3 linked regions of the Arabidopsis thaliana genome follow. The main gene of each other region encodes a partner of the protein of the gene in region 3 in a complex. Each region holds a gene or a part of one and is shown on either strand. Other genes may lie near its edges.

What was found. The genes of interacting proteins can lie anywhere in the genome.
Region 1: HAF01 (region 3) and TAF8 share a complex: the UniProt entries of both Arabidopsis thaliana proteins name them as parts of the TFIID complex.
Region 2: HAF01 (region 3) and TAF11 share a complex: the UniProt entries of both Arabidopsis thaliana proteins name them as parts of the TFIID complex.

Annotation. Positions count from the first base shown.
Region 1 is NC_003075.7:16,426,088-16,429,708, reverse strand, and holds TAF8 (TBP-associated factor 8), read left to right. Parts: upstream 1-1,698; 5' UTR 1,699-1,876; coding exon 1,877-2,938; 3' UTR 2,939-3,070; downstream 3,071-3,621. Other genes in the region: HDR (4-hydroxy-3-methylbut-2-enyl diphosphate reductase), read left to right, coding at 3-77, 147-252, 347-441, 530-715, 789-875, 963-1,028. UniProt on the Arabidopsis thaliana protein: TAFs are components of the transcription factor IID (TFIID) complex that is essential for mediating regulation of RNA polymerase transcription.
Region 2 is NC_003075.7:10,952,029-10,955,627, reverse strand, and holds TAF11 (TBP-associated factor 11), read right to left. Parts: upstream 2,089-3,599; 5' UTR 1,928-2,088; intron 1,850-1,927; 5' UTR 1,837-1,849; coding exon 1,520-1,836; intron 1,450-1,519; coding exon 1,362-1,449; intron 1,274-1,361; coding exon 1,174-1,273; intron 1,092-1,173; coding exon 964-1,091; 3' UTR 552-963; downstream 1-551. Other genes in the region: AT4G20290 (uncharacterized protein), read left to right, coding at 44-469; BAM3 (Leucine-rich receptor-like protein kinase family protein), read right to left, coding at 2,704-3,032, 3,157-3,599. UniProt on the Arabidopsis thaliana protein: TAFs are components of the transcription factor IID (TFIID) complex that is essential for mediating regulation of RNA polymerase transcription.
Region 3 is NC_003070.9:11,853,741-11,858,389, forward strand, and holds the start of HAF01 (HAC13 protein (HAC13)), read right to left. Parts: upstream 3,026-4,649; 5' UTR 2,824-3,025; intron 2,612-2,823; 5' UTR 2,522-2,611; coding exon 2,476-2,521; intron 1,770-2,475; coding exon 1,666-1,769; intron 1,491-1,665; coding exon 1,428-1,490; intron 1,294-1,427; coding exon 1,248-1,293; intron 874-1,247; coding exon 619-873; intron 397-618; coding exon 305-396; intron 206-304; coding exon 34-205; intron 1-33. Other genes in the region: AT1G32760 (Glutaredoxin family protein), read left to right, coding at 4,511-4,649. UniProt on the Arabidopsis thaliana protein: TAFs are components of the transcription factor IID (TFIID) complex that is essential for mediating regulation of RNA polymerase transcription. Core scaffold of the TFIID complex.

The DNA.
Region 1 (3,621 bases), on a different chromosome or scaffold from region 3:
AGGCAAATTACGTTTGTGATTACATTCTCGGTGGCCAATACGATGGATCTAGCTCCACAAAAGAGGAGTTCATGGAGGTATGTAAGCTTATTTTGCTAATTCTTTGTATCATTCTGGTTTTTCTAATCTCTATGTTGGCGTTGTAGAAATTCAAATACGCAATTTCGAAGGGTTTCGATCCCGACAATGACCTTGTCAAAGTTGGTATTGCAAACCAAACAACGATGCTAAAGGGAGAAACAGAGGAGATAGGTTAGTTACTCTACCGTTTTTTTACATGACAATCGTCTTTTATCCTTGGAAACAAAAACACCTTAGTTTGAGTCTCATGCCAAAAACCCCACAGGAAGATTACTCGAGACAACAATGATGCGCAAGTATGGAGTGGAAAATGTAAGCGGACATTTCATCAGCTTCAACACAATATGCGACGCTACTCAAGTAAAATTCCCATACCTCAAAAACCATGCATCTAGACAAGTTTTACACTTGAGGAAGTGTTTATTCATCAATACTATAATCTCTTCAGGAGCGACAAGACGCAATCTATGAGCTAGTGGAAGAGAAGATTGACCTCATGCTAGTGGTTGGCGGATGGAATTCAAGTAACACCTCTCACCTTCAGGAAATCTCAGAGGCACGGGGAATCCCATCTTACTGGATCGATAGTGAGAAACGGATAGGACCTGGGAATAAAATAGCCTATAAGCTCCACGTAAGCGCATTTCAAAACTAACTTACTCCTTACCAAACTGCATTCACTGATTTTTTCTATTTTACATTGATAGTATGGAGAACTGGTCGAGAAGGAAAACTTTCTCCCAAAGGGACCAATAACAATCGGTGTGACATCAGGTGCATCAACCCCGGATAAGGTATATATATATTTGCAGCTATATTTTTGTTTGGTTCTCTTGTTTCCCACACGAACATGAGTGAAAATATTTGTGAAAAAATTACAGGTCGTGGAAGATGCTTTGGTGAAGGTGTTCGACATTAAACGTGAAGAGTTATTGCAGCTGGCTTGATTCGGCATTGTGATCGTATTCAAATACTATTTGTCATGTCAAGAGTGTACTAAAATATATGTAGTTGTATGATTTGTCTTTATAACTTTTGTAAGAGGTTTTGTAATTCAAAGTCAACATCCTCGTTATCTTACTCCACTTAATGTTCTTACCATAATCGCAATTAGACTGATATAGAACTTGAGACTGTGTAAGGCTGTCATTATCGAGAAGTTGTCACTAAAACAACTAGGTTATGAATCTCCGCGGTATCGGGAAAGAACTCATTTTCAACAAATCGAGCCACAAGAGTTTCTAAAATAGTTTAATGTAACGAAACTCGGGAAGTTGTCAAGAGTTCTCCCGCGATATTTCGTTATGTTTGGAAAATTTTCAAAACAATGTAATGAAATATCGCGGAGAACTCATTTTCAACAGAATCACTCATCCGAATTTCTAAAATAGCTTCATAAATTTTTACGAAATACCGCAGAAAAACTTATTTTCAACAAAATCAGCCACGCCAATTTCTTATAAAATTTTCCAATAATTTTTTGGGTTATGATTACTACAATTTACATTTGTTTAATTTTAAACCAAAATTTTGGTCTAAAAAAAAAAAAAAAAGTTGGTAGTTAATTTTGGGGTTGGAGCTCTATATAAGCGAGAGATGGCAGGATTCTCAAGACGCATTTCTCTCTGTCTCTCTTTCTCTCTTCATATTTCCCGGTGCTTCGTCGACGTTAGGTCTTTTCCGTTGACGGAGGCAAATTTCTTCGATTCTCTTTAAACCGGCGGTCCATGTGGTCTTACCGACGAGAAAACCCTAATTTCAGGGATTAGATAGCTTTTTGAAACAAATTAGAGCAATGAACACAGAGAGAGCTCAAGAAGGTGATAGGAACGATGCCGCATCTTCCTCTGGCTGCTCCGAGTCCTACGAGTTTAGCCACGCAGCCGCTAAAGCTGCAGTAGCTCAGGTCTGCGAGAGCGTTGGGTACGAGAATTTCAAGGATCCAGCTCTCGAATCTCTATCTGGATTCGCACTCCAGTACATTCTTCAGCTAGGTAAAACCGCTACTTCCTTCGCTAATCTAACTGGTAGGAGTCAGTGTAACGTGTTCGATATCATTCTCGCTTTGGATGATTTGACTGATAACAATGGCGAACAAGGAATTTCGTCTGAGAGTTGTTCATTAGGTCGTTCGATTAAACTTAGGGAGATTATCGATTTCGTTAATTCGAGTGAAGAAGTCCCTTTCTCGCAGCCATTGCCAAGTTTTCCTGTAGCTATAAGTGATAGGAGTAGGAAGATGATCCCAAGCTTTGTTGAAATTGGTGAAACTCCACCTGGGAAACATATTCCTTTGTGGCTACCAGCTTTTCCTGATCCTCATACTTATAAGGAAACCCCTATGTGGATCGAAAGAGTATCAGATCCAAGGGGAGATAAGATTGAACAAGCGAGGCAGAGACGAAAGGCTGAGAGAGCTTTGTTGAGTTTGCAGAGGAAACTTGTTTGTAAAATCTCCTCAAGGAATCCTGTGTGGGGAGATATGGATGGTGTGAAAGAAGAAATGAGAGATGATGAGAGTGAACTGCGTTCTGTATCGTCCGGGGAGAAAGTCGAATCATTGAATAGAGATGGCTTATCAGTGATAGAGGCATTTGCTCCTGCTATGGAGGCTGCAAGAGATGGGTTTTCTAGTGAAGCTCACACTGAATGGAAGAAGAATAAACCTGTTGCTCTTTCTAAGCTCAGAACCGAGAAGAAATTTCTCGGACAACCTTTGGATCTAAGTCTACAGATGAAGGGTGAAGATAGACCCATATCCTTTGTGCGTGAGGAGGATAGAGATGACAAAAGAAGAAGAGCGGAGTTCATTTTGAGACAGTGTATGGAGAACCCAGTAGACCTCAATCAGTTGTAAAATAAGTGATTCATTACAGTCTGTGTAGCGTACTATTAATCTTGTGATTTGTAACCTTTCTTTATACAGGCCTATGTTATGATTATGATTTTGTGACTGAAAGAATGAGAATTTCTAACCTATCTTTTAGGCAATTGATATGATGTCTTTCTCATGAGATTCTTGTTACATAACTTAATGTTAGTTTCAGTTTCATGTCTCATGAGTGGGAGCCAGGGACCAGTGTGGAAGGAGTTTAGTCTTGTATCATTGCTATATTTCCAAACCAAGTCAAGTGGTCTGAGGTAAGTATATTTTCTTTGGTCGACATGTGTTTTGCTTCGTGATGTTTATGGGGTGTGAAACATATCACTGTATCAGAATTAAGATTATGTTATGTCAATTAGTTGAGAGCTCGAGGTTAGAAAGGAAAGCTAGGTTATTGAGTTGGGGCCTTGTGGATTAATGTAGGATTTTGCTTTGGACACTGGGCGATAGATAAGAGACTTACTTCTCTCGTTAATCAAGCCTCTTAAGAGTTTACGAGAACTGAATCCTATCACAGTTCCTTTAACTAACACCCCTAGTTTTCAGATTCCATACTTATGATTTAGTTTTTCGTCTATTAGCCCACCACTCTGATATCAGTATATATAGACTCCTGGCAGAACCATCATTTTGATAGTCTCAAATGTGAAAGTCTT
Region 2 (3,599 bases), on a different chromosome or scaffold from region 3:
ACCGATCACCAGCGAATCAAAAGGATTATATTGAATAAAGAGAATGAAAAAAGAAGGGAAAAATATTTGTGTAGAGAGAAAAGAGAGAGGAGGAGAAGAGAAGAAACGGAGGCGCTCTGCGTTAAACAGTGAGGAGGATGAAGAAGAAGAAGAAGAAGAAGGAAGGCGGAAGGGAAGGAGAAAGATAGTGGGTGCGTTATTGTGTCAAAACTTCTTTTATTCTTTTTATTTTTCCAATCCAGTCCTTTTATTTTCTGTAGACTTTCAATTCGCAACCCACTTTGTTTTCTTCTCTTCACGTAATAGTTCGTTTCGAGATCGGCCCATTATCAGGCCCACTAGATCCTCTTTCGCCGGAACTTGTGTGATTCAAAACGTCTCCGTACCAATTTTGACAGTAGACCGAATTCTGATCGCGACGGTTTTCAATCACGCCGAAGAAATACACAATTTGAATTTGAACTTATAAACCCAGTTCTTGTAATGTTCGACCAAAAACGAATCAATACTAAAACCAATTTTTAGGTATAGCCAAATTTAACCAAATAAACCGGATTACAAATGATTTTATTTGATTTCGAATTCTATAAAACCGGAAATGAAACCGAATCCAACCTAGTAAACCGGATTGCCACTTTTAGGCCATGTGGTCTGTAGTCAAAGATTGATCTTGTATTGAAAATGAAAACTGGAAACGTAAACCAAATAAAAACCAAACCGTAAGACTGATAGCCATTTCAGGGTCTGTATCCAAAGATTGATTTACTACAAAAGTTGTCACACAAAGTTAAGAACATCAAAGAACAATATGATCCACCAGGGAAGCCAAAGAAGTTCTCCTTTATGATGAGATTGATAGGCAAATCTCGCCAGCTTAAACCTGCCGTAGACCCTTATCCTTGAGCAGCATTGGTAAATTCCCCAGTCTTAGGCTGATATAAGTTCTCTTTTGGCTCTTGTTGACTAGCGGAAAAGGCGTGGAACTGATCTTTTAGGCACTTTTCCTTCGAGCTTTAGTCTCCGATAAGACTCCCTGATATGACAAGGTCTGATAGGTCCTGATTCTTTCCTTTCCGCCATAACAACTCGAGCTACAGATAATGTATTGAGGTTCAGTAAATGAGCTTTGTTGGCACATAAACAAAATCATTGGAAATTTTTGCACTGGCTTACCTGTTTCAACGAGTTCACCAACGAACATCTTTGCAATACCACACGCAACAATAATCATTGGCATACCAATCTTCTGACTACCAGTGACACCTATCAATAACTGCATTAACATAAAAGCTAAATGGTTCATATTTGCAATGAAACAAAATTAAGAATGTTGATAACCACAAATCATATAACATATATACCTTCTTCATCTGTGGTCTTTGAAGTGCAGATCTCCTAAAAGATTCATATCTACTCATCTGATCCTCAGTGAATTGCGATAATATGGTTCTGAAGAATTCAACAAACAATCAATCATCAAAGAAACATGAAGAACAATCAAAATTCTACAAAGACTCACTGCATTTTGGCCATTTTAGCAGGATCAGAACTAGTTGGATATTTAGTAAGCTCAACATCCATATTCTCTTCCTCTTCTTCATCATCTTCATCTTTATCTTTGTTCTTAGCTTCAGTAACAACAACAGAGGTTTTAGCTTTCTTCATCGGACGGCGAACATCCACAGGTCTCTCATCTTCATCTTGAGTCTGGTCGATTTCAATTCGTCCGTCTTCACTACCATCACCTCCTCCTCCTCCGCCAACGGGTGATTCCGGTGGCGATTCCTCTTGCTCTTCCTCAATCGCTGCTTCAAACGGATCCTTTGAATGCTTCATTCCTGATTAAAACCTAAACGAAAAAATCACATAATTGAGATCTCAAATTAGGGTTTAGAACGAAGCAAATTGCTACGGATCATTGACGAACCTTGAAGGTGAAACTCAGATCGAATTTCAAGAGACACGAATCTCTAGACCGTTGTTAACAACAACTGGGAGCTCCACAATCTTCCAGGCGGAGAGGAAAATTCATCGACTGTGTTCAATTTCAAGCTTTTCTATAGGAGTGTAGCGACTGTTATAAGTCGGTTTAGTCCAATCAATTGGTGGATCAAAAGAAAAGATCTGAACCGGTTTTTGTTAAACCAACCCAAAAAGTTTCGAGAACCACATCATTGGATTTGGGCTGGGCTCAGTTCAAAACCACTGAATAACTAACTGGTTTTTTTTTTTGGAATACAATGTTGGGATAACGATTTACAACTAGCCAAATGTTATAAATCGAGCTAGACAACAAAATTAAAAATATCAATGATAGTGAATTGGATACTAAAAAGTAAAAACACTCAAATGCTAACTATTTCTATAGATATTGGATAATCATATGTTAAATCAAATGCTTGAGTGATTTCAACATTTTTCTTTGGTCATCATGATTTTTATAATTCCAAATGAATCAAAGAACAGTTATCTATTTTTTCAAATCTTTCACATAATTCATAATTTTCTAGCAAATGTTATTTAGTTTTGCTTGATACTTTATGATAGGAAGATATAATGCTAACCCTTTTTTTCCTCCTCAATTTCAATATAAACTCATATCACCACCAAACCATCATTACAAATTCTAAAAACAAAACTCTATGAAACACATAAAACAGAAAAATATATATTTAGTCTCTTATATATATAACATCACTGCATTTAGAAAGTATTAGGCTGTTTAGCCTGAGAGATCATCTGGACAACCTCTCTCATGGTCGGTCTCTCAACACTATGTTCTTGCACACATAGCATTGCCACAAAGAACAGTTCCATGGCCTCTGCTAATGGAATATTGCTCAATCTCTGGTCAATGATCTTCACCACACCTTGTCTGTTACAGTTTGTTTGGATCTTTGACCATTGCACAATGTCTATCCCTTCTTCCCCAAAATTATCTACTGGTTTTCGACCCGTAATCAGCTCCAATAACACTACTCCGAAGCTGTACACATCGCTCTTCTCGTCTATTCTCAGTGTATATGCATATTCTGCATTCAAGAAACGGATAAAATGGGCTAAGATCAATCATACGTTTTAACTAGAAGTACTGAAATCCTAAGTTTGAATGTTACGTGTGATACAAGAAAGTAGTATTAGGAATCAGTCATGTACCTGGAGCGATGTAGCCGTACGAGCCAGCGATCGAGGACATGCACTCGGAAGCTCCATTGTCTTGCATCATAAACTTAGCAAGCCCAAAATCAGCAACATGAGCTTCAAACTCAGGACCCAACAAGATGTTGTTTGACTTCACATCACGGTGGATTATAAGTGGCGAGCAATCATGGTGAAGATAACACAACCCCTTAGCCGCTTCCAACGCTATTTGCAACCGTGTTTCCCATTTCAAAAACACTCCAGCTTTCCCGTGCAAGACTTCTCCGAGGCTACCATTAGGCATATACTCGTAAACAAGGAGATTCACGTCTTTGTTTGAACAAAAAGCGAGCAATCTCACTATGTTTCTGTGTCTGATTCTACCTAATGTCTGAATCTCTGCGGCTAAACCGTTGTCATGAGATGATCCTTTGGTTATGGTTAAGAGCTTCTTGACT
Region 3 (4,649 bases):
ACAAAAAGAGGAAGAACATTCCAGATCACATACCTCTACAAGTGACATATCTATTTTCTCTCCTATCCCGTTTCTGTGGAGGCTCATGGATAGCAAATATCTCGGAGAACTGTAAGATAACCATACCATCTTCCACATACAACGTAGGCAGTGGGGTGGCGCCTTTGTCATCCAATGTACCTTCCAATAACTCATCCACCTCCTCCTGAATGTTTTGATGAGATCACTAACATAACAAAATCATCCCACAGCAAAAATATGTTATTTGAGACACAATTTCCCTTTATTTTGAGGGGAAACTGACCTCCTGGACATCTTCGGTGTCCATATGATCCTCTTTATCCAAGATGCTAGCCTCCTCTTCATACTCCAAGGCCTTGTCTTCCTTTAAGACAACTGCAACGCAATTTTTTTTGTCTTGTTAAGTTTATATTCTCAAGGACTTAAATCACACTAGACTACAGCTTTGCAAGTAATCATTTGCCTGAGCTCAACAAGTATAATTACAGGAAGAATGACTTAACAAAACCAATTTGAGTGATGAGATAACACAACAAAAGTACACTTTACTATGGGATAATTGTTTTGTTCAAGAAACGGAAATTTCGAAATGCAAACCTGGTTCCCTCTTTTCAGTTTCAAGAGATTTTTCAACTGGCGCTTGCTCCTCCTCTTGTTCTTCTTCCTCGTCATAATCTTCATCATCAAACACAGAAGCTCTGGACTTTAAACTACCCAAAGCAACTGCAGTCGAAAAATACTCCTTTTTTGGCAGTAGATGATCTTCCTCACTGACTACTTGAACTTCGGGCCCATCGTACTCTTCATCAATATCCTCATAATCAACAGCATCCTCAGCTTTTCTATCATAATCTACACAACATATCACCACAGTCAATGACGCTGATGACCAGGATTTGGTAGTGTAAATAGTGTCAGTATGTAAATGCTACGGGCAGGAATGTTGCATATTTAAAGATTGTAAACGTGAGTAGTTAAAATGTTTATGCATATAAATTACGCAAGACACTTTCTTAAACAATCCAATAATAATTGGATTATGACTACAACGAAAGTAAGAAGAGTGCAAGACCATTGTGATGGAAACATTCACTGGGAGAAAAACTTTCTAGCAGGTTTCCTAGAAGCTACTCCAGTATGGTTTAAAGAAACGGTAGAATGAAAACTAGAAGTTAAATGAACAATAAAAACTGCATAAGATAGACGACCCTGGCAGACAACATCACCTTGCTCAGCTGGATCACTTGCTGTACGTTCTGATTTTGCCAATAACTGTTGAGTTTAGAAACACCATTATTGGCATCCCAGTACAAGAAAAAGAGGATTAAAAACCACATAAAAGACTCGCAGTTCACTCGTCTATAAACTTTAGAAGATAAAATATTAAAGAGTGTGTAGAACGTTACATTTATATCTGGTAGAGATGAACCCAGCTTATCTGCCAATGCAGAAAGATGTTCTTTGGCGTCCTGAAAAGTTTAAATGTTAGCATTGGCACAGGTATGCTTGGTGGAGAATTTGCAACTCATAGTTAATAAAATACATATATCCTAAGTCCAGAGAGAATAGACAGAAAAACTGAGACCGATAATGAAAATAATGTGTTCAACAAGGTCATCATACTGAAAGCGTAAAACAGATTACCTCATCAAGGTAATCAGCGTCCAAGTCCCCAGAGTTATCAACATTTCCAAAGATGAATCCAAGGTTAAAACCCCTGCTGTTGTCCTCATATTCATCATCGTCATCTGCAGCAGACATGTAAAATATTGGTGTTCACCAAACAAATCTTGGCAGACATGTAAAATATTGGTGTAAAATGGGAATGCATGTGATAACTGATTATCATCACGAGTATTCAGAAATCACAAAGATTGCATGTTAACACTCTTGTTAAACTGCTAAATCCAAGGTCACATAATCATTGGATTCCTCTCCATCATCTTATCAGGCTACAGTAGCCTCCATCTAGTGAAACTACTATTCCCATTCTCTTCGTCATCTAAGATCCTACAAACTCAATTCCCTCTAGAAATTTAGAAAAAATAATCTTAACTATACCCTAGAACATGTCCAGGATCACTCAAGACTGCTCCTTTTCTACTTAAAGAAATCCAAAATATTCAAAACCGTAAATCGGTCATGAGCTAGCCTAAATGCACCAAACACTAGCTAGACAGGGACATCTCTAGTTTCACAAACTGTAGTAATCCAAAATTCCACAACCTAATATTTCCAATCTCTTTGTCAATTAAGATCCTACAAACCAATACTCAGAATCACTCAAGGCTGTTCCTTTTCTACTTAAAGAGACTTAATCCGAAATATTCAAAACCGTAGAACAATCATAAGCTAGACAGGGGCATCTCCAGTTTCAGAAATCATGTCGACAATGGACTGGACCGGAAAAAAGAAAAGCAACAAACTTTGATAAAGAAAGCAACATATATATACCTGAGGAAGTCTCGTTGTGGGAACCCTTGCCATTGGATTCAGCCATATTCAAAGATTTAACTACAATGGTGACAATCGGGAGACGACAAGGCAATTGTCCTTCCCAAATCCCCAACCATTAAAACTCAATCAAAACCTTCAAAAGAAACAAAAAAAACTACACAATTACAAGCCAACCTAAACGGACCTGGAAACAAAAAAAGCTAACTTCTTTATCTGAAACTTCATCAAAAGAGTCTCAATTTGGCTTTAAAATCACAACCAAATCGAAACCCCATTGATCAATTTTCGAGTTAAGCTGAGTTGCAATCAAAGCATTGGATAAAATTGAAGAAGACGATACGATACCATTCACTGATACGAGATTGTTGGATTGGAGGGTTCTTTCTTGAAACCCTAATTGAGGGTACAAGTAAGCTTCGCCGGAAAGGTAAACCAGCTCAATCGGACGAGACGGTACGATGTCGGAGAGAAGTTCCGAGGTAAGCAAACTCTCAAATCGGAGGAAAAAAAAAAGTAATAACAAAAAAAAGAAGAAAATTGCGAAGCGACCAAGACAAGATTGTGAGGGCATTTATAAAAGTTTTATAACCCGACCCGAATAAAGTTTGAGTCCGGGTCTAATTTCTTAACCAGGAAAAATCAATTTCGTTGTTTGGTATGGAGGTGGTTAAGCAGAAATAGAGTCGGTTCTGAAGTAATTTTTGTTGTTGTTTAATCAGTGGTAATTTTACGAATTTAATAGATATATACCTATGATATTTCTTTAAAATATCTTTCTACCAAAATTGCAAAAGAAAATTGAATTTTAAAAGTATTATAAAAACATAACTGTTATAGTTCTACATTTAAATTTTCAATTTTTAATAATATTTTAATCACTTTAATTTTATTTTTTCGATCGACTAACATTCTAATATCCAAATTTAAGGCACACAAGTTTAATTGATAGTTTTATTTTTTTCATCGAATAACATCGGATGTGAAACTCTTTATTGCATACCTTGTACATATATAAAAATCAATAACATGTTGATTTTAATTATATAAAAAAATTTAATATTAAATAAAACCAGATTGAATAAAAATGGATATTAAGAAAATATATAGGTTCTTTTATTTTATGGACCACTGCGTCGGTAACTATGACGAAGTAAAACGGCAGTAGCCGTTAAAAAAAATAAAGTAAAATGATCCATATAGACAGATCGGAGATGTCGCTGAAAAAATAGAAGTGTCGTTGGAAAAAATAGAGATATTGATCTAACAACGTAGGAGTCGTGAAAAATATAGCGGCCTAAATGAACATAATCCAGCTTTTCTTCCATTGTCAGTTTTGAACAACCAGCAACGAATTTTATAATAAATTATGCCATTTATTTCTCATTTCGTTCTTTAATTTTTAGTCATCAAATTTAATCGCAACGACCAATACAAGAAGAACATGGTATAATCATACCAAATCATTGATTCAATATTACCTTATTAGATTTTATAAAATTCATTATCCATTCAACAATTGTACCTCAACATTTTCAAATGTACCTCAACAAGCAATTTTTTCTTTATTTAGTTTAACCTAAACAAGGAATTTATTTTTATTTTTACCATAACCATCATGAACTTTGTTGACTTGTTAAATGTCTCTATCTCCTTCTAACGAAATTATCAAAATCAATTTCTGTTCCTTATACTCCAACCAAATAGTGGTCCTGATTCTAAATCCTAGTTCTAAAATTAAGCCTTGTATTTTCTCTTTTTTATTAACGTAAAATCAAACAAAACAAATATCTCAAATATTTTGTTAAGAAAAAAGAATTCTTTATTCAACGAAAAATATGGATTAAAAAGAACACCAAAGCCACGTGCATTGTCACTTCCCAACTTTAGAAAAATTGTATTTATATAAACAAGTTTTATCTAATTAGCAGTTTTATGTTATTTTGTCTTTAATCTCACTTCACCGTCTCTCTTTCACTCAATCTCCGTGATTCATTTTTTCTCCGACGTTGCTTAATCCTCGAAATCTCCGGCGATGGGTGGTTGCGTCTCCTCCAACCTCCTTACTCCGACCGATGACAGCAGCTTCTCTCACCTCACCAGCTCCTCCTTAAGCCAACATTTCGTCAAGCTAACTTCCACCACTTACGGTCTTCTCAATCTCGACTCTTCTT